2 linked regions of the Coturnix japonica genome follow. The protein of the gene in region 2 binds, or shares a complex with, the protein of the main gene of each other region. Links are inferred from orthologs where the notes say so. Each region holds a gene or a part of one and is shown on either strand. Other genes may lie near its edges.

Region 1 (15,369 bases), on a different chromosome or scaffold from region 2:
ACTGCGATGACCATGGGAACCCTGTGTGCGAGGCAGAGACAGTGAAGCCAGCTGCTGAGATCTGGTGGGTCCCAGAGAGCAACTCCACACCCAGAGCAGACAGCCACGATAACGGGACAGTGACTGTTGTCAGCAGGTTCACAGCACATAGCACCAGTGGGGAGAATCCTACCTGCATTGTGTCCCATGCAACTCTGAACGAGACCAAGTCCATAGCCTGCTTCCCATGTAAGCTTCCCTTTGTGTGCTCAGTGTTCAAGTTCTGTTTAGCCCTCTGTTCACATTCTTGCTCTACAGCTACAGACACCTACAGTGAAATTCTACAAAGACAAGTGCCATCCCAGAGCACTTTTGTTCATAAACTTTGACAGTTTGTTTGTGTTCCAGTCACTATTTCCAAGTGCTTTTTTTTTCCCTAATAGGGAAGTACATTAATGCATTAGTGTTCTTTTGGTAGTTGGAAAGCTGTAGGAAGCAGCCTCAGAGCAGACATGCTCTTACTGTTAAAATAACCATGTGGAACCAGACTGTCAGTAAAATCTGTTCAGATGCAAATGATTTTCTGCTCGGATCGTGGTAAGATAGAGACCAAATAGCAAATGGTGAGCAGAAACAAATGAATAACTTCATTCTGAGTTATGAATCACAATATGGAGATACGCTGAGTCCTTGTGAGTGGCTCATAGTGTATAAGTGTCATGAGTTGTCCAATGTGGAATCTGGGCCATCCGTTTTTGTTTCTGACACAAACTACATTTTTGTTTCTCAGACAGCTTTCATTAATGACTTTCCCTTTTGCTAAAGAGGATTCTATTTCACAAGCATGCTGAAAATGCATGTGCTAGAGCAGCTTAATGCTTATACTGAAATATTAAAGAAACGGAGCAGTAAGAAGGCACAACTAAGACTAATTAATTGTGTTTAGCACACAGACACCTCATACGACATACAGCCATCTTTGTTGGTTTCCTGATCATCGTCACCTTTGTAGCTGCCATTTACTATTCAAAGCTCCATGGTTACAGGTACGTACAATGTGGGGCTAAGGAAAACTTGTCTGGTGTTAGTGGAAACCTCTAAATACTGCTTGTGTCTTGAAATCAAACAATTCTGTCACTCTGTGCTGCTCAGGGTAACTACTGTGGGTGAATTAACCATATCAAATATTTTGACTTTCTACTGCAGTAATTGTGCATTGCTCACATCTTCACTGAATAATGGCACTGAGTAGAAACCATAGCTGGTTAGATGTTGGCAAGGGATACTCATTATATTGCATGCTGCACTGAATGGAAACGCTTCATTCTGTCAGGACTCTGGCAGAGTAAATTCATACTTCAGGTACTGGAAGAGTCTGTCAGGGTGTCTCTTGTTCAGCTTCCCTGTTTGAAGGTGAGGTGTACCTAAAATAACTTTTCACTTTAGACTACATTGTATGGTTTCTTCACTGTGTCATCAGCCTTGCTTGTCTGCTGGCCTCCTTTTTTCCTTTTGGCTGTTCTTCACCACTGCATGTTCCGTTATGCAAGCTATGCGCAAGATGTGATACATGCAAAACCACTTTGGTCACACCTAGAGAAGTTTCTGAGAGCTTCTGGTGCTATTTCACATCACGTGCAGTCATCTCAGAATCTGTCACGAGAGCCAGATCAGCATGTGCTCACACAGGTTCCTAGGCCTCATGTTGATGGTATTGATGTCTTGTTTTCCAGAAAGAAGAGGAACCCATGAAAGCCAAAGCATATCCCATGTGCGTAGCCATCCAGGGCTACTTCTAACTCAGCACCTGAGCACAGATGAAAGAAACTCCCTGTATGCTTCAGTCAGCAATGTGAGATGCCACAGCCAATCACAGTGTCAAAGCATTCAGGCAGATGAAGCAAACATCCACGAAGCAGCCAGTGTAACTGTGCAGAAAGATAACATGCAGGGCAGATCCCACCTGACCTTTGTCAGCTTTCTTTTTCCCTCTAAAGCAACCATGGACACCATCACCCATGCAAATACACAATTGGTAAATAATTCATGTTGTATAAAAGAAAGTCACTCAGTTTTAAGTACATGGTATCCTACCCTAGTATTCAAGTATCCCGTTTTACTGGCTCAGATAAATCAGAAGAAAGTTTCTTGCATACTAACAATAGCAGCTTTCCCAAGATGGTTATGCAGGACTGAAGGTGAATTTGAGCAGCTCTATTATTTTCACCAGAAGAATATTGTATTTCATTATAAAAATGACTTATCACCACAAGCAACAACAACAGCAACAAAGAGGACAGAGAATATTTGACCTTGAGTAGTTACTGCCACCTGAAGCATCAAAGATATTACAGTCCTGAGATCTAAGCTTTAAACTCTCATTTACCTCTTTGCATAAAAGAGAGCTGCAGCCCATGGAACACAGAGATCTGCAGCAGTTGATTTAAACACATCCTACTGGCTCTATCACAAAAGAGTCCTTGTGTGTAATTTTCCAGATGATGATACACTGCCACAACTAGTGATGTATAGAGAATAAAATCATAAAATCATTTGAGTCCAACTCCCTGCAATGAAGCAGGGATCTGATCTAGCACCTACAGCTAGATCAGGTTGCTCAGAGCCCCATCCAGCCTGACCTAGACTGTCTCCAGAGACAGGACATCTACCACATCTCTCAGCAACTTGTTCCAGTGCTTCACTACCCTTACTGTAAAAAAACATTTTCCTCATATCCAGTCTAAATCTCTTCTCTTTTAGTTTGAAACCATCTTGCCTCATCCTGTCAACACAGACTCTGCTGAAGAGTCTGTATCCTTCTTTCTTATAGCTTCCCTTTTGGATACTTGAAAGGCCACTCTCAGGTCTCCCCAGAGCCTTCTCATTTCCAGGCTCAACAGCCCCAGCTCTCTCAGCCTGTCCTCACAGGGGAGGTGTTCCATCCCTTGGATCAATTCTGGGGCCCTCCTCTGGACACACTCCAGCAGCTCCATGTCTCCCCTGTACTGAGGACTCCACATCTGGACACAGTACTCCAGGTGAGGCCTTACCAGCACAGAGTAGAGGGGCAGGATCACCTCTCTTCATCTGCTGGCCATGCTGCTTTGGATGCAGCTCAGGATACAGTTGGTTTTTATAGGCTGTGAGGGCACACTGCTGGCTCATGCCCAGCTTACCATCTAACAGTACTCCCAGGTCCTTCCCAGCAGGGCTGTGCTCCATCCTGACATCCTCCAGCTTGTGAGCAATATAGCAATCATGGGGGTTGCCACGGACCCATGTGCAGGAACTTGCACTTCAGTTTGTTGAACATCATGAGGTTCACCTGGGCTCGCTGTTCTTGCCTGTCTGGCTCTCTCTGCATGGCATGGGTATGCTGACCACACCACTCAGCTTGGTGTCACCTGCAAACTTGCTGAGGGTGCACTTGATCACAGCGCTGATGTCACCGATGAAGATATTGAAGAGCAGCATTCCCAGTACTGACCCCTGAGAGATACCACTCATCACTGATCTCCATCTGGATACTGAGCCATTGACCACCACTCTCTGGGTATGATCTCATAGTCATTTCCCTGTCCATCAAATAGTCCACCCACCAAATCCATATCTTTCTAATGTGGATTGAAGGATGTTATGGGGAACTATGTGACAGGCCTTACTGAAGTCCAGATAGATGGCAGTGGCTCACCCCTTGTCCTCTGATGCAGTTATGACATCAGAAAAAGCAACCTGGTTGGTCAGGCAGGACCTGCCCTAGGTGTACCCATGCTGGTTATCCCAGATTACCTCCCTCTCTTCCACCTACCTTAGAATAGCTGCCAGGAGGATCTACTCCATGATCTTCCACTGTACTGAGGTAAGGCTGACATGTCATTAGTTCGCTGGGTCATCCTTTCTATTCTTCTTAAAAATGGTTGTGACGTTGCCTTTTTCTCAGTCACCAGGGACTTCACCTGGCTCTTGATATCATCAAGTGTGGCTTGATGACTTTGTCAGCCAATTCCCTTAGGACTCTGGGATGCATCTCATTGGGACCAATAGACTTACAGATGTTCAGGTTCCTCAGGTTCCTCATAGCGAGCAACAGCAACGTCTTGGAAGCTCCTCCTATTACGTGGGGGTCCGACCTTTTGGATCACCTGGGCTGCACAGAATGAAGGGGAATTGTTTTGGGCAACGCTTACGTCTGTTGCTCCCAAAGTAATGGCTTCTAATTACATCCATGGAAACTACTACAGATACACAGAGCACATAACACTATTTGATTGAGCGATTACTCAGCACAATACAACTCCCGTTCACTCGGCGCATCCCATGCAAACCAAAAGCTCGGGCACATAACGGGTTAAACGCTGGGTAACGCCGAGCCCTCCCCGCCCCGCCCTCCGCCTTCCGGGTATCGCCGCCGCGATGCTGCTGCTGCGGGCGGCTCGGAGCCGGGCCGGGGCTCGGCCGGGTCGTGGTTTTCCTCCACCGCTAGCCGCCCTCTCGCAGGTCTTGAAGCTGGAGCGGAACCGCCGTGACGGCATCATGTTCCCGTTGCAGCGGTTAGCCCGCAACCTGGCTCCCGGCGCCGAGGAGGCGGCCTTCAATCTGTTCCAGCCCGGGCTGAACGCGCTGCAGCGCGCAGAGGTGCTCTTCACCTCCGGCCGCGGCCACAACATCGACTACGTGAGCTCCGCCGTCCGCATGGAGCACGCCCCGCAGCCCGCTCTGCCCGAGGTCAGGATGCGGCGGGGAGGCCGGGCGGGCTGGATTTGATGCCCCCGCTGTGCGCCGTGCGGTCGGTGTGGAAGTGCTCGCTGTTCTCTAGTGCAGGTGTGCTTCATCGGCCGGAGCAACGTGGGCAAGTCGTCGTTAATCCGGGCCTTGTTTTCGTTGGCTCCAGACGTGGAGGTCAGAGTGTCGAAAACTCCAGTAAGTGTCGCTTATAACTTGGCTCCCTCTGGGCCAAAAGCTGCTTGGTAACCCAGGCGGTGGTATGGAACTGAGACCGCTTCCCATGTCCCAGCTGCCCATCTTAGCATCTCTTTCTTCTTTTTCTTCCTAAATCTTCCCCCCAGGGCCACACAAAGAAGATGAATTTCTTCAACATAGGGAAGTACTTCACTTCGGTGGATATGCCAGGGTACGGCTACCGTGCCCCAGAAGACTTTGTGGATATGGTGGAGGCTTATCTGCAGGAGCGACGCAAGTAAGGGACCTCAGTGCATCAATGAGAGATGAATGCTTATATGCAGATTCACGTAATCAGGTGATAAAACACCACAGAGGTAGCAGCTTTCAGTGGTCGTGTTGATGAGTCTGAAGTTGTTCACTGGGAACCTCTGTGGTGACCCTCATTCACTCACTCACTCATGCTTAGACAGATCAAAACTGCAGAGCAGATGGAGGTGCTGCTCCATGCTGAGCTCTCAGTGCCATGCACAGCTTTTCTTGTCTTGTCTTCCTCCAAATCTTACATTTCTTCTTGTTGCTTTGAGTTTGGCAGTAGCACAGCAAGACAAAATAACGGTGCTGCCTTTATCGCCTGTATTTCTGACAGCTTGAAGAGGACTTTTCTATTAGTTGATGCTGTGGTAGGAATCCAGAGCACGGATCTTATTGCAGTAGAGATGCTGGAGGAGTTTGGGATTCCTTATGTGGTGAGTAGTGCTTTGTTCTTGAGGAGGTGGAAGCAGTATGAAAACTTGACTTGTGTTAATTACCTTTACCATATAACTATAAAGGAATGTACCCCCTACCTGAGCTTTTGCAGGCTGTCCTACCTGACTAGTAATGCCATCTACTCCACCTTTCTTTACTGATAATAAAATAGATCAAAGTAGCAAAATTACAGAATCACAGAATGACCCGGGTTGGAAGGGACCTCAAGGATCATGTAGTTCCAACCCCCCTGCCTGGCAGGGCCACCAAACATACACATTATCAGGTGCCCAGGCCCGTCCAACCTGGCCTTGAACACCTCCAAGGACGGGCCATCCACAACCTCCCCTGGGCAGCCCAGGGCCTAACCACTCTCCTAGTGAAGAACTTCCCCCTAACATCCAACCTAAATCTTCCCTCTTTTAACTTAAAACCATTTCCCCGTGTCCTGCTATTGTCAGCCCTTTCGAAGAGTTTACTCCCCTCCTGGGTGTAAGTTCCCTTCAGGCATTGAAAGGCTGCAGTGAAATGCTCCAGGAAGTCTTCCAGGCTAGCACCAAAATCATCTTTTCCTCTCGCAATCTTTTCTTTCTGGATCCACACAGATGGTGTTAACAAAAATTGACCGAGCTTCCAGGGGACTGTTGTTAAAGAATGTTCTGGGGATCCAGGAGTTTGTAAAGGAGAAAACCCAGGGATGCTTTCCTCAGCTATTCCTGGTCAGGTAATGCTCTTTTTTTTTCTTGCTGCTGTGCCTTGTAGATGATGATTTGCACTGACCAACCTACCTTCACCTGGAACTGTGTTAGCTATAATTGATTACATTAGAAGTGCTTACTCTATTAATGTTGTATTGCAATGTGGGGATGTAATTTAAGTGGTTGAGTTTGCTTGTCTTGCTTCAAGATACTGTAGCATCAAGCACTGAACATCATACCTTTGTTTCCACAGTTCTGTGGAGTTTTCGGGAGTCCACTTGCTAAGGTGTTTTGTAGCCCATGTTACTGGAAACCTGCCTAGTGTAGAGTCCAGTTGAGAAGTCTGGCTCCTGATCTGCTCAGCTCATCTGGAACAAAAGGTACCAAAACCAGAGGTCTGGATTGTTGTTGTAAGAACCTGAAGCACCACAATTATTTTTGGATAAACTTTTATAAATTTTTGGCTAAAGTAATGTTTGTAAAGGCGAGCTTTTTGTTTAATAAACTTCTTAATCACTGTGAATGAATCCTGGGTACTACACAAAACCTATGTGTTTGTGTCAAGGGAGGGAAAAGAAATAATCAGAGAACCTCCAGAGAGAAGCCAGGTACTTGCTTTGTTGAGTTGAATGACACCTAGCAGTTTAAATGAGCGTATGGGCACCCTGCCTGCTCTAAGGCTGTCCAGAGTGAAAACAGTCAATGCTTTGTTTGCAAAAAGCTTTTTGGAAACTTGTATTTTTTTCACTATTGTAACTCCTCTGCATTGTGCATTCCGTAGGTTCAGCGTGATAGCATGGCATGCCTTGCTTGTCTACATCTGGTTGTCCCTGTTACGGGCAGATGTGGAAAAGGAAACCTACTTTATGGGATCTGCCTCCTGGTTGGCTGTTGGCTTGAAACAGTGGTGATGAATGAACAACACCTAGCAGAACTCTCTCCTCCTGCACTTGATCATCACTCAGTGTTGCATGAACCTTCTGTTTTAAATCCCACGTGAGTTCTGCAGCTGCGCTCAGCTCAGTTACCAGAGATGGGTCCATTACCTACATCTGTCCTGCCCTGGGAGCTGAAGCACAACACAGAGGTCCTGCAGCCACTGTACCTGGCTAAGGTCAAAGGGAAACCACATCTGGTACAGAATGTACAAAAAGGACTGCCATTAAATAGCAGTAGTTGTACACAGCAATTTAGACCAAAGCTAATAAAGTGCCTGTGTCACACTCTGGCACACATCTTGTCCTGTCTTAAGACTGCCAATTCTGCGTATACAGTTGCTGAGGTTAACTTACATTAAATGTTTATATCTCAAGGAAAAGTGATTCTTTCATAACCCACTCTGAGGCTTGAAGGTGGTGTTTCTACTGTTTGTTACGTTAAGGAATGTCCTGTAACTCTCAGATTAGGCTTGAAGTTTGTTTCCAGCAGATATGTAGGAAGTGGCAGGATGAAGAAACCAGCAGGGAGATGTGGATCTCCAGTTTCTACATGTAAGCAGAGATCAAGCATGTCATGCTACCGTTTTGCTTCTAATCCCAAAATGCACCAAAGCAAACTGGCCTGTGAGTGTCTGATTCTAGAAATAAATACAGTAGGATCTAGAGAGGTGGAAAACACTCAAGTCAATGTTTTGGGAATAATTGTGTGTTTGTATCTTAAAACCAGTGTCTTTCAAAAGCATCAGTGTAGTCCAAGCTGTTATCTTCAAGGCCTCAGTTTGTTATGTGCAAGATTTGGAAGCTCTGTGACAGATGTGGCAATAAATAAAATCGAATTAAGCAAGTGCTCCATAGATTCTTCTTGACTCTGCTGTCCAGTAAAGTTTTGTTTCTCCAGTGCCTGTACCTCAGCTGCACCTTTTTCTTCCTCTCCTTCGTCTTCCTAAGGAAAAAATCTTTTGAATAGCCTAAGTTCCCAAGGCATTTCTCACACTAGATGAGTGAGGGGTGGGAAACAGCCTGGGTGCTATAGACACGGCACAACAAGATGGCGGCCCCCAGGGGAGGCGGGAACGGGAAACCGGAAGCGGTAGCGGGCTGTGGCGGCCATGGCGGACGAGGAGGAGGACGCGCCGGTGAGCGGCGGGGATGGGTTGTTTGCGTTCAGCCTCGGGGCGGGAGGGAGCTCCCCGTTTAACGGCTTCCTTCCTCCGCTTTGTTCCTTCAGTTCGAGGAGGACTCCGAGGAAGCCGGCGGCGGTTTGGACGGCGGGCAGGGCAAGAGGAAGAGGCTTTTCTCTAAAGAACGTGAGTCCAGGTTGGGGGGGGAGCTCAGGGTGGGAGCGTTACTGATGCATTGAGCAGATGGAGGCCTCACGCTGTGTGTATTCCCGCAGTAAGATGCATGATGTACGGATTTGGAGATGACCAGAACCCTTACACGGAATCTGTGGATATTCTTGAGGACCTGGTGATAGAATTTATCACTGAAATGGTAAGTCAGTGGTGTGCCAAACACGGGTCTGTTAGCCTTGAGAAAAGAAGACTGAGAGGGGATCTGATCAATGTCTGTGAATATCTAAGGTGTGGGAGGCAAAGGGATGAGGCCAGACTCTTTTCAGCGGCATGTGGCAATATGACAAGGGGAAATGGCCACAAACTGGAGCATGGAGCCACACAAATGTGTGCAGGAGCTTCTACATGGAGAGGGTGACGGAGCACTGGAACAGGCTGCCCAGAGTGATTATGGAGTCTCTTTCCCTGGAGCTGTTCAAGACCCACTCGGACTCCTACCTGTGCAACCTGGTGTAGGGAGCATGCTTTGGCTCCCTCTGCTTCAATGAAATTCCTTCAGCATTATCCCAGGCAAAAACTCGTGTGCTGCTGGGAAGAAATCTAAACTCAGATATAAGAGGTTGGATGTTAGGGGGAAGTTCTTCACTAGGAGAGTGGTTAGGCCCTGGAACAGGCTGCCCAGGGAGCTTGTGGATGCCCCGTCCTTGGAGGTGTTCAAGGCCAGGTTGGATGGGGCCCTGGGCAACCTGATCTAGTAAAGGTGTATGTTTGGTGGCCCTGCCAGGCAGGCGGGTTGGAACTACATGATCCTTGAGGTCTCTTCCAACCCGGGTCATTCTGTGATTCTGTGATTGCCCTTCCGATATTAAGATAGAATTAACACATTTTACTCCACATGGATTTAGGGCAACGTTCGGAGGCTTTAAGTAACAGTTAGGGGAAAAAATCCATAGCTGACTTTGAGGCACCCAGTGGCATCGCTGTGTGTTCTGCTGACAGATGGCTCAGCTTTGAAATGTTATGTGCTTCTTGTGTTCTCTCAGTGCCTTTACACAGATGGAAATGCCACACCATAAAATAAATGCAGCCATCTGGGCCCTAAAGCCACTGCTGATCCAGACATTTGGATACAACTTGAGCACTTATGTTAAAAAAAAAGAATAAGAAAAGTGGTATTGTTTGTGGATCCCTTCTCATGAGAAGTTAGCCTTGCCTATTCTCAATAGAAAAAAACTGTCCTCTGATGCAGGTATTGCATACTGCATGCAGATTCTGCTTGATGCTGTTGCTCCTCAAGCACTTTGCAGATCAGGTGTCCCCTCCCCAGTCTGCCTTCAGTTCCAAAGACATTCCTGTTGTGTGTGCAGTGGTACCCAGTGTATATGAGGTACTGCACTTGGATGGCAATGCCCAGATCCTGCACTTGCTGCCTTCTAGACTGTTTAAAATGTCAGTAAATACAGTAGGATTGAGATCTGAAAACAAAACTAAAAGGGGCAGAGGAACACTGATGTTTCTCTCTTGCAGACACACAAAGCCATGTCAATTGGACGGCAGGGCCGTGTACAGGTTGAGGACATTGTCTTCCTAATCCGCAAGGACCCCCGGAAGTTTGCCAGAGTTAAAGACCTTCTGACTATGAATGAAGAACTGAAACGTGCCAGAAAGGCCTTTGATGAAGCAAACTATGGATCTTGATTCTGTGTACAGGCTTGACTGGAGCGTGCTGTGGGCTCCTGTTGCTCAAGAGGAAGAAATGTCATGTGTGTTGCTTTGAGGGGTTATTTGAGCTGGAGATCATTGCTGCTATCTGCTCTGCCTCTCAGCCTCTTGTGGTAGGCATTCAAACAGCTAGATGTTAACTGATTACACATGGCGCTCCTAACGTGTTTTTATACCATTATGGGAATTTGAGAAATGAGCTCTAAAGATATTTTAAAGGTGAGAAGTCTGCAGTAGGACAGCTGAATTGGGAATCTACAAGGCCCATGACAAGCTCTTCTCTACTTTGGTTATGTCGAGGTATTTTGTTGACAGGAAACCTGGAAAATAGATGTTGGTTAACTGGACAAAGTTGTCAAGCCCAAACTATTACAAATTCTGCTCTGTACATAAACTTGAATAAAGCAACTCGAGTCTGTGCCCACTCTTCGTAACTACACGTACACTGATCAGTTAACGCAGGGCACATAAAAATTGTTGGCTATTGTAGCATCTCATGAGCTCTAAGTGCTGTTTCTGTCCTAGTAGACACAGCTCTCCTGTTTTTACTGTACACTTAGAGAACTGAAATTAACCTGTTCCAGATTTAGTTGCACTCAGATCCTTGCCTTGCCCCTGTTGGGCAGATGCTCCACTATAAAACTGATCTGACTTAATTCAAAGAACTTTTTTCACAAGATTAGGATCACCGGGTAATTACAAATAAGAGCTCGATGGAAAGCACTAAGCTTGTGAAATAATGTTAGAGCAAGGAATAAGTATGTGCTGGAATAGCTACACATTGCCAAGCAGGCAAAAACTGCACACTTGAAAAGACTTCAGGACACTGGGGGACTTGTTCACAGATAAGTTTACTCTTGCGGGCTCCAACTGTGCTTTGCCCTGTTTCCAAAGCAGCAGGATTTGGTTAACACCTTTTCAGGACAGGAGAGAAAAGGCACTGAGTAGGAAGTAACTCCAAGCTGCTGTCCCTGGACAAGGCTGGGTAAAAAGGATACAGATTACTCATCTGTTTTGAACACTGTTCCATAAAAAAGAACAACAAAAATGTTTACAAAAATAAGATCATTACTCCTTTGTTAATAGAACTCAGTGTATGAGGTACCAAGACACTTAGAGGCATTCCAAGTTCTAGTTAGAAAAACAAGACACGTTTCTTCTTCCTAGTCCAGAATCAGACACCCATTGCTGCAAAAATAGAGTCAATATCCACGTTGTCAGAATCTTCGTGCACAGACCTGGGGCTTTCTTTTAACAGCAGCTGCTTAGGAGTCCCTGCTGTACTTTGTTTGACAGCGGCCGTGTGAATGATGGGACATCCTTTCTGACTCGAAGGCCTCACAGTGGGTGAAATGCAGCTCACATGGTCCCCAGAAAGCTCCGAATGTTTTTGCTGAACAGTCCTCAGAGTTCTCTTTGAGCACTTGGAGAATTCTGCCCTCCTTCCAAAGATCCATGCCCTACGGTACTGCCTTGGCCAGCGCGTGTTCTGGGAGCCATACAGGAGGTATTTACAGAGCGTCATTTTGACACAGCGCAGTTTCTTCTGCAAGCTTAAGGGAAGGAAGATGAACAAGAGAGAACTTTACAGCTGTTACTATTACCTATGGTGTTTTCAGAGCTCTAGATATGGGCATTCTCTGCCATTCTGTCACACTCGGGAAATGCTACAGCATCTTTACATCATCTAACACCATTATGCAGGCACACAATCTAAGCTGCATTTTCATTCCCCCCTTTTATTACATATTCATGCATTTATTAACCCTTTAAATCCTCTCACAAGCAAAGCTATACAGATACTTGTATCAGCAATTCCAATGACCTGAAGATGTGATTGTGCTCAAGCTCAAAAATAAATATATAGGTCAGACCACAGCATTTCTCTACATTGTAGCAAAACATGTGAAGTTAAACTATCAGATCCAGAGCCCCTGTGCTCAGCAGAATACCTGCATCCTTGTGCCTCCACATGGTGCAGCCGATTGCTCTTCAACAACTTGCTGCGCAGAAAGTAAGCTTCTGATTTGAGTTTGTTGCCTTTGCACCACAGAATGGCTTTTCTGAGCGCCTCCGACAGCTCACCAAATGATGCAGCTGTTTGAAACATCTGTACGAGAGGCCCAGTGCGCTGCAGTTTTGCCACAGAAGAGGAAAGTGACACTGATGTTTCATTAAAAGGTTTTGATGTCAGGCATCTACCCTGAAACAAAGAAGCAGAAAAACAGTTGGCTTTCTAAAAAGGTGAGGTGCCTGCTGCTCTGCCAGGGAGGAGCAAAGCACTGTGTTTTGCATTTCTTAAGGAGAGACACACAGTGAGCATTTATATTCCTGTCTACTGACTTCTTCTGACTTCCTCTCTGGTCACTTCGCTTGACATACCAACAAATGCTTGCATAACAGAATGACCTGTTAGACAGGTAACATAAGGCAAGGAAAGAGGACATTTTCCATCATATAGGTAACACATTTCAAGTGTTAGGCTCTTCACAGCAACATAAAAGCAATCTTGTGTAAAACTGTGGTATACAAACCCCTTGTATTGGAGGTCTGGATGGTCTAAGCAAACTCTTCACATCAAACCATAGGTGGTTCTCTACAGAAAGAGAAGAGTTCCCATTAAGTAAAGAGTTTTAAGTCCTCACACAAACACACTAATGCTTTGCCCTGCTGAGCTCTCAGCTCTCCCGGTGTCTCAGCAGGCTTATGCCTGTACTCAGCATTTCAGGAGGGGAGTTTGTACCAGAACCACACTCTGTGGGAAGCAGAAGCATTTGCTCTGTTGGACAAAGTTGGACAAAGCGGTAGCCAGTCTCTGGTCTCAGATACCAGTATTGCTGTGGCAAAAAGGCTTTACCTCTGCTGCCTATGGTCCCCAGAACGGGTTCTCCAATGTCATCCGCAGGAATGCTGTGGTTCTTCACAGCTCTCGCATAGGTCACAAAACCTCTCTTTTTCCCAGCCTTTGATACGGCTTCTGATGTGGTTGGGAAGAGCTTCTTCAGCCAGCCGGTAGGTCTTCTTGCTGTAAGCATTTTAGCTTTTTGTTTCTTCACCTCAGCAGAAAGGTTAACTCCAAGAAAGCTACCGATATCAGCAGGGAAGGTAAATCCCTTGATGTAGGGCATCTGCTGGGTCTCAGACACCAGATGAAGCGATGTTGACAGTACGCCATACAGGGAGATGAGGTTCTGCAGTAAACACCTGTACTGAATCCTGAAGGGAGAAGACAAAGGTGTAGATTCTCTCCTAGCAAGAACTTGTGCTTATACTCACTGAACAACTGCCTTGAACTCAAAGGGAAGAGCTTTGTTCTCCCCCCAGTAGAGGCCCCTCTCTTTACATTCTCCACTCACACAACTCTTCAGGTGCTAGAACAGAGTCCAAAAGGATGGAGGGATCTGTATGATCTTTTTCCCCTCTCCTCCTAGCTGAATAAAGCTCACTCAACAAGAACGCTCTAATCACAAGCTTTCTCCCTGACAGGCATGTCAAACAGACAGCAAACAATTGTCAAATATACAAACCATAGCCGGCTCAACATGCCCAAAGCCACGGTGTTCATAAGTATGAATTCTTCTGAACAGACAAGCTGCAGATTACACCAGTTAAGGTTAAAGAATAAACAGTATGTAATGAAACTTGCTGAGCCCATCAACTACGGGCAATTCACAAGGCGATATCCTGAACAATTCGGGAGGTGCGTATCCAAACTTTGGGTTGCTCAAGGCTGGAACAGCAGCCAGCCAGCAGCCTGAGGTTCCTACGTAATAACTTGAAAATAAAATGTCTGACTAGCAAAGAATCTTCAAGGTGCACAAATGAATTGCAATGTGGACTCCACCAGCAGCACAGACATTCCTTTGGCCTCGTGAAGTGCTGCCGGTGAACAGTAAGAATATTTACATAGCAAAAAAAAGGATACAGAAATGCTTTACAGCAACAGTCTAGCAGACGCAGTATGAGCTTACAGCCTCCCAGCACCTTCACGGCCACTGTTTCCAGCATAGGCTGGCTGGGAACTAAGCACTCTGCTTGGTCCTGGGCTTTAGTTTTCCTGTGGCAAGACAAGGGCAAGGAGATGTCTGTGGTCTAGCATCTCCTCCTTCGGTTCCGTAGGCTGACCAATGGGTAGTAGTGCATACAGGGTCATGGCACTGACCTGGGAATCAGTTCTGCCAGGGTTTCAATGCAGCCCACCAAGTTCATTTTCCACAGGCGCTTCAAGCACTGTTCCACCTAGGGGAAAAAAGAAGGGAAAAGAAAAGGAAGAAAAAAAAAAAGGGAAGTCCTTCAGCTGAGAGACACCAATGCCCTTGTCTAAGAGCAGTCACTACTTTAAATGACACCTTCCCCTTATCAGTTTAATAGCAGACTTCAGGTTTGTGTGATACAGTGCTCTGGTCTTGTTGCCATATCTGCACTGTGACAGAGACCCCTTTATCACCTTACTGTGAATAGGAAATTAAGAGCAGGAGCAGATCACTTTTCATTGGCACTGTATGGTTTCTCCTGCAGCATATAAATGGATTTCAAGAAGCATTTAGACAATGCTCTGAGGTATGAGGTCTGATTTTTGGGTGGTCCTGTATAGAGCCAGGAGTTGGACTCAATGATCCTTACGGGTCCCTTCCAACTCATGATATTCTATGACTGTGGTAATGCAACATGATGGGGATAAAGTACAGAAGTCTCTGAAATCTAAACAGTGGATGTATGGAATGTGTTTGGGATTTAACCAGTCCTTCACCAACGATAACGAACAAATGAATGGAGAAGGTAAGAAGGACTGCTGTTTTATTTCAGCACAGTTGTTTGAAGACTATGACAACCCCTTTACTACAGAGCTGCTCAAGAGTTCAGCTTCTGCCTCAGGAGAGGCAACATCCGACAGAGCAGCCTGCAGTTCTTCCACACCCAAACCTCCCCTCTCCCAACTGAATCAAACAGCGACGAGGCACCAAAAGCTGAAATCAAGCTGCACTTCTCACGCTGTCCCAAGGCCTTCAAACCACCCCAGCTGCCCGCCGCTCACCTGCTGCATGGCCAGGTACGGCCGGTGCCGCAGCAGCCTGCTGTGGAACACGT
Region 2 (15,324 bases):
GTTTAGGCATGAACACGGCAGAAACCCTTTGGAGACAGACTATGGCACACAGAGCATCTCAATAGTTATTTCCCTGCATTCAGTATCACAACCATGAATACCTGAGAATCTCCTCTGCAGAGTTCTGCAGTTACTGTGATGGTGCTGATCATCTGGGGTATCACAAACCTACATCAATCAAGCTATGAATGCAGAGCAGCTGACCTACATGTCAGTATCCTATCAGGCCAGGGTTGAGGAGGTGGCCTGAGAAGCCACAGCTGGTTCTGTGTAAGATGACAGAAAAATGCTGAGATGTTTTTTGGCTGACAATGAGAAGTGTCACACCCCCAGCTGAAGTATTTGAGGAAATCTCTGCCAAATCAGAGACTTTCTGGGGTATTTCCAGAGGAGAGGTTAATTCAAGGCTCTGATTATGAATGAAACTGAATACAATGAATGAAAAAAAAAAAAGAGATCAGACCTCCCCACTTTATTAACTTTCTGGCTCAGGCTAAGTTTAAACAAGGATAGTTGGGAAGGTACTTTCCACAGGCCTGAAGTCCATCTGTGCTTGCCCAAGCCCAGCTCCTCCATAAGACACGTACATACAAAAATGATATCTGTCCTGAAGACAGCAAATCCCCAAATGCTCGAGTTTCAGACAGACCACTTACAAGTGGAAAGCCCTTACAAGAGAAAGTGCCAGCTGCATATGCAAAGGAACACTGAGAAGCAAGTTTGTGCAAATGACTTCTGGGTCAGAGCAAGTAGATTTGTGTGTATGGCTGACTTGTGCTGTGTTGGAAGGAGCAAACAGGACACCGTCTCACTGACCTACAGGGCTGTTTCCTGCCCTTCATCTCCCATTTGCACAAACTGCAGGTCCTGCATTGCCAGCACCCTTGGCACCCCCACTCCATGTACAGGCACGAGGCAGGAGGACACAAGCCAGCACTCCTGCACCAGCTGACTTCTGCTCTCAAATAGGAAGTTGATAAAAATCTCACTTGGCTGCAGAAAGAAAATCAGATTTCAAAACCTCTGCCAAGAGGCCTCCAGAGCCCATCAGGAGATCTGTCACTAACCCTTGGCAGCAGGAAGCCCCTTCCCACTGCACCTGAGGCAGACACCAGACACCCTGGTTGTGCCTAGTCAACTCTTTGAGGATGTTTTCCTCTCCTGAGCTGTTGCTTATATTCTCCTGTTTTGTTTTTTTAATCTTGGGATCTATCACATGTCAAATGTGCTTTCATCAATAAGTAGGTTGGGGGCAAACCTTGCAAAAGGCCCCAGGCACATGCACACAGCATGGCACTGAACAGGGCACGCTGCCTGGGGGCAAGCAGGTGCTCTGTGCTTTTCACCCCTCTCCCCTCTTTTCTCTCTGCGTACTATATCAGTCTGTGATTAAATCAAGCCTGTTTAACCGCCACAAGCAGATGTGAGGACCCCATTCGTTACAGAAAAAAAAGGAAAGAAAAGATGGCATGTGGTAACAGTTGTCTGCACATGAAACATGGCCTGCAGCCCTCTGTGAACCCCAAAGCCACAGGATCCTTGTTTGGGGTGTGGGAACTCATTTTCTCAGACCCTCAAAGACTCAGTTAAAACAGACCCTGCTGTAGCTGAGGCGGAGGAAACACACACACTGTGAGACACCGCGTGTCCTCCCAGCTCTCAGTCCTCCTTGCCCAAGGAGCCCCTTACAGCACAGCCAAGGTAAGCTAACAGGGCTTCACACTGAGAAGATGCAGAGACATAGGAGGAAGAGAAGGAAGGAAAGGAAATGATATCCATCTCCATGCCCAGCACAGGGAGATGAACAGCCAGAGCAAGCAATGAAGCCTATCGTTGCCTCCCAGATGGCATGGGTGCTCAGAGACATGCTGCAGACTGCAGGCCGTTAAGAACAGGGCTGTCATACCCACAAGGCTTTATCAGTGGCTGTTTCTTCTTTCTTTCTGTCTTGCTCCAAACTCTTAATTTCTAAAAAGGGTGGGAGATGTCACAGAATCAGCAACACATCCTGAACAGCTGTTGCCACCCTCTATCTCTGCCTCACCCCTTGTCCCTGCTGCTTCTGGAGCCCCCAGAGAGACAAACAGCTCAGCCTGGCTAACAGGAGGCCCTGATGCTACACCACCAGCCTGGAGTGCTGAAGACCCCTGGTGGGATTCAGTCCTGGGTTCCCATTGGGACGGATGCATTTCCTTGAAGTGCTTTGCTCAGGAATGCCAACATTCTTAACACAACAGAATTTAACAGGTATCTAAAGGTGATGGTAACCCCACTCAACACCACTCTCGCAAAGCTAAACAACTGCGTGAGCCCCAGCTGAGGAGTGGGGGCTCTTCACAGCCCACCCAAACAGCTTTCCTGTCCTGCAGAAATGAAAAGGGCTCAAAAGAGGGATCCCAAGCCCAGCTGGGATAAGCAAACTTGCACAACTGCAGCTCAGAAGCTTATGATCGAATGCAGGAATTGCTTCTGCTGGCCCCATAAGCTCCCTGCCTGGGGATGACACAGATGGATTCACCTCGTTCAGCTGGAGGAGACAGCCCCAACCCAATCCAGAGAGCAGCAGGATCCCAGACCCCTGCTGGATCTGTGCCTGGGGGAGCAGGATTTCTCCCCCACCCTTACCCTGGAAGGGCAACACCCAACGTGTGGTTTCCTGAAGCAACAGATATTTGTCAGAGAAAGCAGTAAGGAACACAAATGTGGTAAGTGGCCTCTGCTGAGCTGTGCAGGTTGGCAGTGCTCATGCTTTGAGGTAAGGCTATCACCCTGTTAGGCCAGCAGCAACACCCTGCTCTTTGCAAGATATCAAAGGCATGGGCAATGCAGCTCAGGCTCAGAGCAGACATGGCTTCCACTGGCAGGCTGCAGCCACAGAGGGAAGCGTGCAAAAAGCAGACAGGCACATCATCCTGGCCCAGCTCTACTGCTGACATCTGCCTTACCAGTGACTGAACCTACTTGTTGCAGCACCTCCTCCAGCAATGTGAAGACATCTACAGGACAGACAGATGCCTGGGGTGAGGAGCAAGGCTCCAGCACCAAGATGCACATTCTGCTGTACATGCCCTTGGCTCTCTGCCACTAATTGCTAAAATACTAATTTACAGCATATTCCATAGCAAGGGACTGCATCAGTGCTTGCTGCATCCAGCATCTGGCACACCTGAGGTAGCTGCAGTTTGCCAGAGCAAGGGTGGTGACAAAGAATGACAGCTTGTGGACGGGACTGGGCAGAGATCTTATGTTCTCCAGCACAGGCCCAGCTGTATCACCTGTAAGGATCTGGAGGGCACAATATCACCACACCTGACACTGTTCCTCTGCTTCTCTTTCAGCAAACTCTGCATCTGAACTCTACATCTGTTGATCCAGCAACCAGCTCAGCCTATCTCCTCATCACCTTCGGGCTCTAAGGTTTGAAGAAAACAGAAGGAACAAAATGCAGAACATCCACTGAGTCATTGATGAGGCAGGAAAAGCTGACCTGGAATCTGCAATAGTTCCTGGCAGCAGAGGCTCTGGACAGCCTGGAAGTGTGGGTTTACATGCTTGCTGGATTAGATACAGCACTGACTCAAACACAACTATGAGCTAATGGGATGGGAAAGAACAGTTTTTACATCAGCTAAATAGCATTACAATAAAAAGTCCAGTGGATATCAACCACCCCGGGCCCACTTTAATCAGTAAAGATGTTCTGACACTCCAGTTAGGCCAAAAGAAAGCTCCTGGGATCTCCCACTGGGGCTATTTGTAGTCTTGATGAAATGGCTTCAAGCTTTACTCAGAACTCCAAGGATGGAACACCTAACTCACGCACCGAGATGGATCCTGCACTCTGGAAACTCCATCTTACACACATGCAACATAATTTTGAGAAGATTTATGTGAACTCCAGAAGTGACCCAGCAGAGCTGCACAGATCCCCATCCCATGAGCCCAGGCAGGGCAGTGCTTTCTGCCAAGACATCAGCCTCCTCCACCAGCAAGCAACAAGTCCACAGGGTATTACTTCACACAATCATATTGCCAACATTAACACCACTGTTGCTTTAGAGAGGAGGTTATTTGTCAATAGTAGCAAAGCAGCAACAGCCTCACTGCATTCAGGTCATGATCTCTGCAAGCAACAGGCCAATGTCCTTAGGAGAAACATTCTCAGACGTACAGCTTATTCCCTCCTTGCCCTTGTCCTGTGCATCAAGTGCTTGTCACTATCATACTATGCAACAACCCTTACAATGCATTAGTCAAGGAGCTTGGGGGCTTCACTTTTCAGAACCACATGGGCACAGGGAAGGTTTTGGTGACATCCTGACTGCTGTAAGGGGGCTGTAAGAGTCTAAATGAATTCGCTGCTAGCTATTTTGGCTTCTGACATAAGCCAGTAAGAGCACATGGTGACAACGTGCCCTCTGGTGGCAGTGGTGCTGGGGGACAGAAGCACATGCAAAAGTTCACCCCCACATCGACCGCAGCAATTTCCACCTACCCATCTCTGTTGCTGCTCAGAAACACCAGGTTCAAACACCAGGTTCCCACACCAGATCCCTGCAGCCCCCCCTTCACCAGCACTGCCCAGTTCAGAACTGACAAAGCCTTGGGCTTTCCCTACCAAAGAGTGGACAGTCATCCATTCCCATCATTCTTTACAAGGCTGAATTTCAACAGGCTTCACAGCTTCTCCCCCCTGGGACCGTCAGTATGAGAATAACTATTCAGCTGTAGCTCTCTGAGGTTTAATGTTTGTCTGGGGTGACACAATAAGGACTTGGGATTCCCACCTCCTACATCTTCTTTGAAATAATCTGCATGAAATTCTGTAAAAACACGTGAGCTTCTTTCCTTTCTCAGTCTGAGACCGATCTGAAAGTTCTTCTTGTTGCAAAAGGAAGCGTTCCAATCTCTGGGAAAAAACCCCATGCTCAGGAAGGCGCACAGACTCCCACCATCCCACATCTCCTTGTTTTGCTGCCAGCTGACTGATTTCACAGCACTGCAGAGGAAGCTGGCACCATAAACTGGCAAACGTTTCCAGCAGCAACATCGATTCCCACTCCACATGGGCTCCAAAATAAGGATGTCACCCTCCACCTATGGACACGAACAGCCAGCATGGTTCTGCTCGCTTCCAGATTCCTTCCCTTCCACATCAGATCCCTGGCAACATCTTTCAGCACAGCCCTGAAGCTCTCCTTGTTTCACTTCACCCCTTTCCTCTTGGCTGGCCAGTCTCCTCCGGTGGCTGCGAGCAGCTGCTGCTTCACAGACACACAAGAAACCCCGACATCACTGAGCAGCCAGACCTTTATGGAAGCATTTCCCACTCCCACCCTGCCAGGCAAACGGAAGCCATGCATAACAGAATGATGTACCTGTGCCATAAAACAGGATGCAGCACCTGTGATTTTAGGGACTTCTGCACATATTTAGCTGAGGAAAATTCCACCAGGCTCTGGATTTTCAGTTTGTAACTGAGTTTAGAAGGGACTGCAGTGCTCTGGTTAGAACCCAAGGGCTCCAGCTGACACCACCACCAATGTTATGTTATGTACTGTAACATCAGCGGGTGCACTTTATCAGTTCTGAGAGCAGCTCACAAGGCATGGCAGTACTTATTGATGGGAAAAAACGTGCAGAGGAGCAAAGAGATTGTGTCTGGTTATTCAGCAGGCTGGATGCAGCCAGGACTGGAATCCAAAATAACACAGTGCTCTGCACCAATAACTAGAGCACCCAGCAGCCCTCACTGCAGGGCTTCCCCTGCTACCCCCTCCTCAGAGACACCCTGTGTACAAAGAAACAGCTTTGTTCTGAAGTGTATGATACTGTGGGATGGGGGAAAAGTATTCCCAAGAGTAAAACAAACAAACAAAAAACCCACAAAGCCAACGAAAACCAACCGGGCAGCACAGGGCTGGGATCTCATTTATCCAACAGCTCCCACGTGTGAATAAACCAAGTAATGCAGCCACCCAACATGAAGCCTGAGCCTGTTCTCAGCAGCTTCACTCGGCTGCTTTGAGCTCCCAGCTGCCACATCCCTCCATATAACGCACATCACTCCGCCCCACAATCAACCAGCAGGTCACAGCTCCACCACACACAGCGCTTCCATTCCCAGCTCCTTGTGCTCCCTCACACTCCGTTAATCACTGCCACCAATTCCAGCAGCCAGCACAGCACACACAGCCCCGAACACAGCGAGGGACCGACCCCGCCGGGCACAGCAGAGCTGGGTGCTGACACCGCCACAACAACGGCACCTTCACACACCGGCAGCTCAGGCCCAGGCCGTACTATGGCAGCAGCTCCCCGCTCCATCCACCCATTATGTGCCTCGTACCTTCACCATCCACCAGCTCCGCTGCCCGGTCCCGTCCCGCTCCTGGCTGTTGTTTACTCTCCACACGGCTCCGGCATCGCGGGGCGGGGCTGCAGGTTCTCGCAGCTCTCGGGGCATCGTGCAGCGCTGCCGGGCCGGGCCGCTGCCCCGCCATGGAGCCGCCGTTACCGGAGCTCATCGTCCCATCGTTGTTGTCCCATCGCCGTCCCATCGTTGTTGTCCCATTATCGTTGTCCCATCACCATCCCGTCGTTGTCCCGTCCCGGTCGCACCGCGGGGCTGTGGGGGATGTTGGAGCCGCCTACAGCCCCCACAGTGCAACGCGCGCCTCGCCGCACGGCCCCACCGCCCCGCACATGCGCACAGCGCTCTATGGCTCCAAGATGGCCGACACGGCGCCCGGCGGTTCCGGCACGGTAACGGCGGCTCCTCGTCGGGCCGCGGGGTCGTTGTGGGAACGGCCCCTCCGGGCGGAGCGGCGCGGCCTGCACCGGGAGCGGGACACTAACGGCTGCGGGCTGAGCGCGGCGGCTTTAAGGGGGAGCTGAACGGAGGGAGGCGCTGATTGGCTGCATGGCTGCGTGGGGGCGGGGCTTGGCGGCAAGCTGTGATTGGTCCGAGCTCTGATGCAGCGTTTAAAGGGACAGAGCGACTATGGGGGAACGTGTGTAAATATGGGGATATGAGTATGGACAGGCACTGCTTGTAGGGCGCTCCTAAGGTAAAGCCTCCTATTTATTCGCATGGAAGCTGCAGCAGGTACAGCACAATCATACTGTGTGATCAGGTGTTTGCACATCTGGAAAGCACTGCTGTTTAACACGGTCACCACCATTGCCCATATTGGCACTGGAGAAGAGCTGCATGCTGCACTCATACTGCTGGAGTGACCCACTGTTATCACTGGAACACGCCGCACTGTGCTCACAGCGGCTGCTCTGTCTCCAGAAGCATCTGCCCTCATCCAGGAACACAGTGATTCTGTGCTTCATTCACACTCCTTCATTACACACCGTTATGTCCAGCTGCTGCCACCTGTCACACAGCAATGTAATGTACACAATGTAATGTACACAATGTAATGTACACAATGTAATGTACACAATGCTGGCAGGAAGGTTCAGCCTTTACCCCGCCTCCAACATCTAACCCTGATGTCGACATCATGAAATAGGAGGCATTACTTTCAGAGCAGTCCTCATGTGTGTATGTCTGTACATGTGTGTCTGTGTAGGTGGGTCTGTACTGTGTGTAGGTAGGTGCTGTGTATGTACACCCGTGATGTGTGCAGGGACAATGTGTGAGCACAGAGCGAGTGCTGGCAGCTCGTCTGGGGCTCAGGTTCAGTGTTTTGGGGTCTGTGTCCACAGCGGTCGGGCAGCAAGCACACGACCACGCCAGCAGATAACTACTACCTGGCCCGAAGGAGGACACTGCAGGTGGTGGTCAGCTCCTTGCTCACTGAAGCCGGCTTTGAGAGCGCTGAGAAGGCTGCGGTGGAAACACTGACAGAGATGTTACAGAGCTGTGAGTGTCGGGTGCCACCAGATTTAGGGCAAAATCACCTTGAAATCGGTTCACATTTGCTTTCGCTCTTTCTGTTTTTCGTTTGTTTGTTTGGTTTTGTTTTAACTCTTTAACTCCCGGTGCTTTCCATGATGTTATGATGTGCAATAACAATAACAAAAATCATAAAACCATGACACTAGATTTGATCAAAAGTCAGGTGTTGTGCTGACACAAATGTGTGTTTGCTGCCTGAAATGAACATGGAATGTGAATAAAATAAAATGAACATGTAATGGTTGTTGGTGGTTTTTTCCCCTCCAGATATTTCTGAAATTGGAAGGAGTGCAAAGTCCTACTGTGAGCATACAGCCCGAACACAGCCCACGCTGTCTGACATAGTTGTTACTTTAGTGGAGATGGGTGAGTAGCTGACTCATCTCACTCATTCCACATACATACAGTGGGTGTTCTGTGTTGCCATGACAGTCTGTTCCTGGTGTAGTTGTGTGATGTCGGCTGTTCTGGGTTGCACACAGAGGCTCCAGTATCACTGCTGTTGATGTAGTGTGTATGCACACAGAGTACATTATTTTCTTTCTTCTTGGTGTGATTCCATTTTTCTCTTCTTCTGTATTTCAGGGTTCAATGTTGAAACACTTCCTGCATATGCAAAGCGCTCCCAGAGGATGGTGATCACTGCCCGTATGTGAGAAGTCCTTTTCTTGTGCAGGAAACCATTTGTCTTTTCTATCTGCTGGCATCCAGAGAGCTGCTGCTTTTCTCATGGATGGTGTAGTCCATTGCTCCGGGGCACTCAGTTTGTGTTAAAGATTCCTGTAATTATGATGTAGTAGGTGAAGGAGAGTGTCTGTCCTTTGCCAAACCTGTTGCTTTTGCTTCAGTATCCTCATTGCACATGAGAATCCTCAAGGTGGTTCTCCTTGTGTAGGAGGGGTCATGTAAGCCTTGTTCCCTTTTGGGATGCCAAATACAACCTGAAACTGTTGCTTGTGTCATATGCTCATGTAGTGCATGTGCTTTTTTAACCATAGCTCCTGTGACAAATCAGCCCGTGACTCCCAAAGCCCTGACAGCTGGACAGAACAAGCCACATCCATCCCACATCCCTGGCTATTTCCCTGAGTTTCCAGATCCTCACACCTACATCAAGACACCAGTGAGTGAAAAAAGACTTTTGTGCCATTTGGTTTCTGTCTGAAGTCAGTAATGTTAGGAAAGGTGCATGTGCATTCTTATTGTAGTGCTGTTCCTGAACATTGTTTCTGCTACCTTGGCACAATGCTTGTCATTTGCATATTGTACTTGCTCTAGTTTTATAGCTGATATCTGTAGCTGTTTGAAAACGTGCACATGTTGAAGGTCAGTGCTTGCCTGCATCCTATTAGTGTTTTGAACTTGATCTGTCTTCACTGAATCTAGTGACTGTACTTGTTTTGTCATCCCTGCTCTACAGACGTACCGAGAGCCAGTGTCCGATTATCAAGTCCTACGGGAAAAGGCAGCATCTCAGAGGCGTGACGTGGAAAGAGCTCTCACCCGCTTCATGGCTAAGACAGGAGAAACACAGAGTCTCTTCAAAGATGATGTTAGCACATTCCCATGTGAGTTATCTTGGAAACCTGTGCTGTAAAGGACAGTTCTCTAACAGAGTGTACATCTGGTGTTCTTGTGATTGCAGGAGGTGGGCACTGAGGGATCACATTGTGTTCAGCCTTCTGAAGCACGGGAAGGGAAGGAAATGAGGGACTTTCTATTTTAAACAGGCATAAAAACCTTGGGTTCATAAATGACTTGTGCAAAAGTTACAGAAATTCAGACAGCACTGGCTTCTACTCTAAACAAATTCCCCCTTTCTTGTGATGGTGGTGAAGGCTTTGACTGATACATCCTATCGTTCCCTTATCCCAGTGCTGTCAACTCAGTGCTGAGTTGATGATCTGTCTCCCTTCCTGCTCACTGCATGCTTTTCCCCAACACTAGTGATTGCTGCCAGGCCATTCACCGTACCCTACCTGACGGCTCTTCTCCCCTCGGAGCTGGAAATGCAGCAAATGGAAGAAACAGATTCATCCGAGCAAGACGACCAGACAGACACAGAGAACCTGCCCTTGCATATGAGCACGGTACGCCCACCCTCAGGTCTCTAGGGCCTGATTTTCTTAAACATATAAAACCTGGTTCTTTGCCTTCCTTGCAGCTGAGCATAGGGGGTGGAAAATGGCAAAGTAGGTTGCATTTTACCGGATGTAAATGACTAACATTGTCATGGTTGTTTAACTTTCTGCAAAATATGTTGTACATTGAGGTTATCTAATGGTGGATCACGAGCTTTCAATGCAACCTTTATTTCTGTGCTAGAGGAGAGAGGATCATCACGCTATTCTATGCTGTTCTCAGAGGGGATCTACTTATATTAAAAATCTGCAGTTCTCACCTTCAGTGCAGCTTTTTGTTTGCTTCTGTTTATCTTGGCTGTTGATTATGTTTCTCCCATGTGTTTTGTGGTTTGAACTTCTAAGCCCTGTTAAGACTAACTTTGGTTATTTATGCTTTTTTTTTTTCTTTTTTTCTCTCCTGTGTCAGGATGATTCAGGACCTGAAAAAGAGAATTCTTCAGTATTACAGCAGAACACCTCCTTGTCTGGCAGCCGGAATGGGGAGGAGAATATGATAGACAATCCTTATCTCCGGCCAGTGAAAAAGCCCAAGATCCGCAGAAAGAAATGAACTGTAGTCAGCTGGCTGCTAGAAGGAAGAGGAGCCCATTTCTCTGGCTGTTATGAGTAGTCACCTCTGCTGCTGTGGGTATGAGGCGTGGAGCAAGACAGAGGAGGCAGTCTGACCGAATGGCAGAAGGAGAGGAATGATCTTTGTCTGCCTGGCAAACTACACTGTCATCATTGTTTGCAGTGCTCCCTCTTCCTCCTCTGCTTTCCTCCTAACTGGGAATGCTCAGTGGTCAGTTGCCTTAAAAATGGTAAAAGCCACTGGGTTATAGATGGGAATTGTCTCATTTGCTTTGGTTTCTTCTCACTGTTGAGGAGGTTTACTCTCTTAAGAGGCACAGGACAAAAAGATTCTTGCTGCTCTACAGAACACAAAGACATCATTTGTTTTTGGCTGCCTTACAAGCTAGAAAAGAAACTTCTGCAGTGAACCCTGTTTGGCTTTATAATCTGTGGTGCATGTATGAAGAGAGAGAGAAAAATCCCACAGAGGTTTCTTTCTTTTGATTGTTGGCAGGTAAAAGCAAACACATTTATCAAAGAGTGAAGTGTAAATACAGAGCTAAGATGAGAGTTATTCTCAGCTTTTCTGACTGCAGCTGCACTTCCAACTTAAAAGTGCTGAGTGTGGTGTTTACCCTACTCTGCTTTGAGGTTATTTTCTAGCAGTACCAATGGCAGGATTCAACAGCTGCCTCGGGCTCTTTTCTAGTTCTGTTGTTAGGTTCAATGCAGCACAAGTCCTTTGAGAGTTCATGCCTTCACCAGCTGTTTTGAAAGATGCTTGCTGCAAAGCTTGGAATATAGAATAAAGCTGTATCGATTACAGTCTGCAGGGCTGTGCTATTGATCATGCTTTTAAATTTTGTCTTTGTTCAGATATGGGCTTTAATCAACAAAAGTTGCTCTTTTTTGTTTCTTTTTTGTTGTTGTTCCTTTTTTTCCTTAGATAAGGAACTTTGTTTCAACTGTGAAAATGAGTGCTGGTGGGATTGCTCTAATTGTTATCCAGTTTTGGAGGCCTTTCCTTTACTTTATGTTCAGTCTTTACTTAGGGAAAATATACACAGATATATTATATATAATATCACCCAGAGAGGAGGAAGAAGAGGAGGAATTATTTCAGCAAGAATGGAAGTATTCCTGTTAACCTATTTGAAATGCCATCTTTAGCAAAAAATTAGTCCTGCGTGTGCCATTGCCACTTCTGTTAGTGCCTTTGTTGTACAGAAAATCAAATGTACAAAGACATGATGTATATATATATGTGTGTATGTATATAAAAGGATTTATCTTTTTTTTTTCTACTTTGGATTAGGTGTTTTTCATAATGAAAATATCCCTTTCTGGATAGGGGAGAATCTGGAATGAAAATAGTATCTTTAATGTTCCTAATAAAAGAAATTTTATCTTCTACTATTAAAAGTGACTGAGTCCATAAAATTTCAGACTGAGTGGAAAAAAACACCCGAGTGGAGCCTGAATGTTTGCTCAGTGGGGTCTGGTGAAGTTCTCACCAACATGTAGGAGGTCTTTATTCTGCTGCTGCGTCTCTTCCTTTCTTTGCAATGATGTTTGATTGCTGAGAAGGTTGGGAATTTTCCAACACAGTGTGTTCAGTGAGGACAGAATACTTCCCTTTATAAGAAGTTTTTTTTCTCTGTCACAAGTGGAACATGTGGTTGGAAAAGACTGCAGAATCCTTGGTGTTTTTTAGTTGATTCTACATCTTTCTGGTGTGTGTTTTTTCTCCTCATGATAAACTCAAGAAAGATAAAGTATACGTTGTCAGCCATGATTGCAGTGGTGGAGCTGGAAGCAGAGACATTAAAAAAAGGTTTTACAGCCATAATCTGCAGGGAATGACACCTCCTCCTTGAAGATTTTTCATCAACAGTGGCAACTGAGAGTCAGCAACAGCATCCCTTTCTGACAGCTACAGCTACAAAGCTGCCTTGTGTGGTTGGGAGGGTTGTGCACTGAGAATAAAGGCTGTCAGCAGCTGCACTTGAAGCCCGAAAGTGGAAAACTGGAAGAATGTATCTCATTTTTATAGTCAAAATTGGGCTGCAGGTGAAATTGCCACAGACGCAGCTAAGCAGACCCAAAAAATGGAAAGGCTGTGTTGTGGTTGGTAGTTATTTCAAGTACAAATATTGTGAGTTCCCAGTTTTCCCCTGAGATCTGATCACTGTGCATGCAGCCGAGCTGTAAATATTTATAGCAGTCTCTACAGGCTTCACGCTACAGAAGCACCTGAAGCCAAACACCAGAACCTCTCTGTTTCACACTAGGTTTATTTTTGTGGCCTCACACGGTTCTCATAGATTGAGAGAAGCTCTTTATGTGCATAGGGACAATGCTGGTCAGCACAGGCATGGCCATCTGGTCTGGCCATTCTCAGCACTCCATACACCTGGGCCAGGAGCTGAGGGAAGCAGTGCTGAATGCTGGTCCTGGTGATGCCAAACACCTGCAGAGTCAGGAAAGACCATGTACCAGGTCAGGCAATGAAAATCAGCAAGCAGAAATGCTGCTTTGAACAGGTTTTATTTGAGGAGGCAGAATATTGCAGGCAGACGTGTCCACGGGCAGGCTCTGCTGCATGGGGCTGACGTGATGTGTGCCTCAGCTCTCATATAAACTCAGGTAGGCCACACGGTTCCGATGCTTTATGAATTCTCTGTCCGCAATCAGCTGAAAGAAAAGAGCACAGGAAGACACCAGGTGGTGTTGAGAACTGCAGGCTGCTTTACCAGGTGGTTTTCCTGACCCTCAGCCAATGTTTCATCCCTGTCCATACCTTCTGAACCTCTGTTCTTAGCATCCTCCTTGATGGCATTGGCACTAATGACCAATCTGGAGCTCCAAACTTCATTGGCCAAGTGATGTTTTTGTGTAATCGCTTGTCTGCATTGTAAGTTCCAGGTCTAAAGAAAACAGAGACAAAGTATCTCATTTCTAGATGTGGTGCACGATGTTTGCAATATGAGAATTAACCAGACCTGCTTAGACCTATGAGAAAAACGCATTTTATGGCCTCCTAGTCATCATCTTAGGTTGGAGACTAAAGCAAAGGAGCCTTTTGAAGATACAAACAAACAAACAGAAACACCAACAAACAAGAAACCACTACTGGGAACTCAGTTCCATTTCTGTCTCAGTATTTCTCTCCCCTAGTAGCCCCGCTTGTTGTTAGAATATTAAGAAAATGAGTTATATTACCCAGGGAAAAATTCTTTATTCTGAGGCTTGTCAGGAAATCGTGTTGTCTTAGATAAAAATGGAGCATAGTTAGGCTGGTGTTTTCTCTCTGTAGTCCAGAATGGCTGGTATGTTCCTGGTGCAGGAGTCACAGTCTGCAAGGGGAAAAAAATCACTATATTTTGTTCTGCAAACCATTTCTGGATGCTCTTAATCAGAGCATTTAATGCCAACTAGCTCGGCACTGCAGACCTGCTGTTCAGTGCATGCTTTGGCTACACTGATCGCATAAAAAGAGCAGAATAAATCAAATCTGTGCTCCCCGCTATTTGCCCAGTGTATCCTGTGACATCTCTCCTGACACAGTGTTAATCCTCAGAAGCTGTGCCAGTAAACTAGGTTTGTTCTGTTAGTACAACTTCAGCTCCCTTCCTGATTTTGCCTGTTACTTTGAGCTGGAGGCAGGCCCAGCATGTGATCATTACTTACAGCCTATGATAGATCTGCCCACAAATTCCTGCCTTTTTGAAGCATCCTTTTCTTACCCGTGGCTCTGGTATGAATCTCCGTGCTGTTCTGGCTCCTATCACGTAGCCTTTCACACTCAGTGGCCTTATTCCAAAAGAGTATCTGAGGCACATTTCCTGTGGTTAAAAAGCAGAAGCATCAAAGGAATAGGAGAAGTACCTGAGCAGCAGACACTGTTCCTTTAATTTCTCACTAATTTATAGTATTAGGACAGCTGCAGCTTTGAGGACCAGTACATTTAGAAGGTAACTTTTCTAGGAGATTATTTTTTAGGTATATATGCAGATTTATACAATGGTCTTTACAGGGCAGGCATGGAGTATGCTGTGTCAGGCTGGCTGTGGTCTTATTACCTGTTACTTATTACTTCCTCCTTACTATTACTCCTATAACATATGTCTTCTGTGAAGGAATAGTTCCGAGAATAAAAGACAAACTTACCTCCTGACTCGGGTAACAGCCTGGTCCTAGGGTGGGGATTTCTGTGCTGGCTTCTGGCTGGATTGCGATCTTGGCTGGAGCATGGTCGGGAGGGAAGAGTTCCTGATCGTTGAGTAACCGAAACGAAATGCGCCTCTGTGAAGCTGTGAAACCAGGAGAGGAGAATGTGATCAGTGTGATTCACACAGGTGGAGATGACCACTGCTCTTAGTCCTGAGGCATCTGCTGCTTCCTGAAGTGAGCCTTATCTCTCAGCTGTCCCTGGATATCCTGGAGGGGACAGATCTTTGAATGACTATTTCCTGCTGCCACAGACTTCTTATTCCCCGGCCTGGGCAAGAAGGTGCATAGCAGCCCAGTAGCAGGAAAGGATGCTGGGGAAGCCCGATGCTATTGGAGATGCAGAGCCCATGTTTGTAGCCCCTGTCTGTAGCCCATACGTGTAGCCTCTGCTTGTGGCCCATGCTTGTACCCCATGCTGGTGTGCACACCTCACAGGGCTTACCTCTGCGCTGCCACTCTGCAAACATGCTGCCATATCAGGCG

What was found.
Region 1: TAF8 (region 2) and TAF13 share a complex: the UniProt entries of both Homo sapiens proteins name them as parts of the TFIID basal transcription factor complex. The link is inferred for Coturnix japonica from reciprocal best matches to the Homo sapiens genes TAF8 and TAF13.

Annotation. Positions count from the first base shown.
Region 1 is NC_029516.1:74,704,727-74,720,095, reverse strand, and holds TAF13 (transcription initiation factor TFIID subunit 13), read left to right. Parts: upstream 1-8,267; 5' UTR 8,268-8,373; coding exon 8,374-8,400; intron 8,401-8,492; coding exon 8,493-8,571; intron 8,572-8,660; coding exon 8,661-8,758; intron 8,759-10,086; coding exon 10,087-10,257; 3' UTR 10,258-10,705; downstream 10,706-15,369. Other genes in the region: uncharacterized protein LOC107320010, read left to right, coding at 1,713-2,290; GTPBP8 (GTP-binding protein 8), read left to right, coding at 4,393-4,704, 4,801-4,899, 5,046-5,176, 5,528-5,627, 6,234-6,352, 6,580-6,664; NEPRO (nucleolus and neural progenitor protein), read right to left, coding at 11,456-11,834, 12,234-12,484, 12,816-12,877, 13,139-13,497, 13,809-13,873, 14,188-14,338, 14,444-14,520, 15,317-15,369. UniProt on the Homo sapiens protein: The TFIID basal transcription factor complex plays a major role in the initiation of RNA polymerase II (Pol II)-dependent transcription.
Region 2 is NC_029541.1:4,761,601-4,776,924, forward strand, and holds TAF8 (transcription initiation factor TFIID subunit 8), read left to right. Parts: upstream 1-6,477; 5' UTR 6,478-6,501; coding exon 6,502-6,765; intron 6,766-7,719; coding exon 7,720-7,876; intron 7,877-8,179; coding exon 8,180-8,278; intron 8,279-8,497; coding exon 8,498-8,560; intron 8,561-8,910; coding exon 8,911-9,035; intron 9,036-9,332; coding exon 9,333-9,480; intron 9,481-9,859; coding exon 9,860-10,002; intron 10,003-10,462; coding exon 10,463-10,606; 3' UTR 10,607-12,030; downstream 12,031-15,324. Other genes in the region: PIFO (protein pitchfork), read right to left, coding at 13,234-13,302, 13,409-13,535, 13,831-13,964, 14,355-14,453, 14,779-14,921, 15,284-15,308. UniProt on the Homo sapiens protein: The TFIID basal transcription factor complex plays a major role in the initiation of RNA polymerase II (Pol II)-dependent transcription.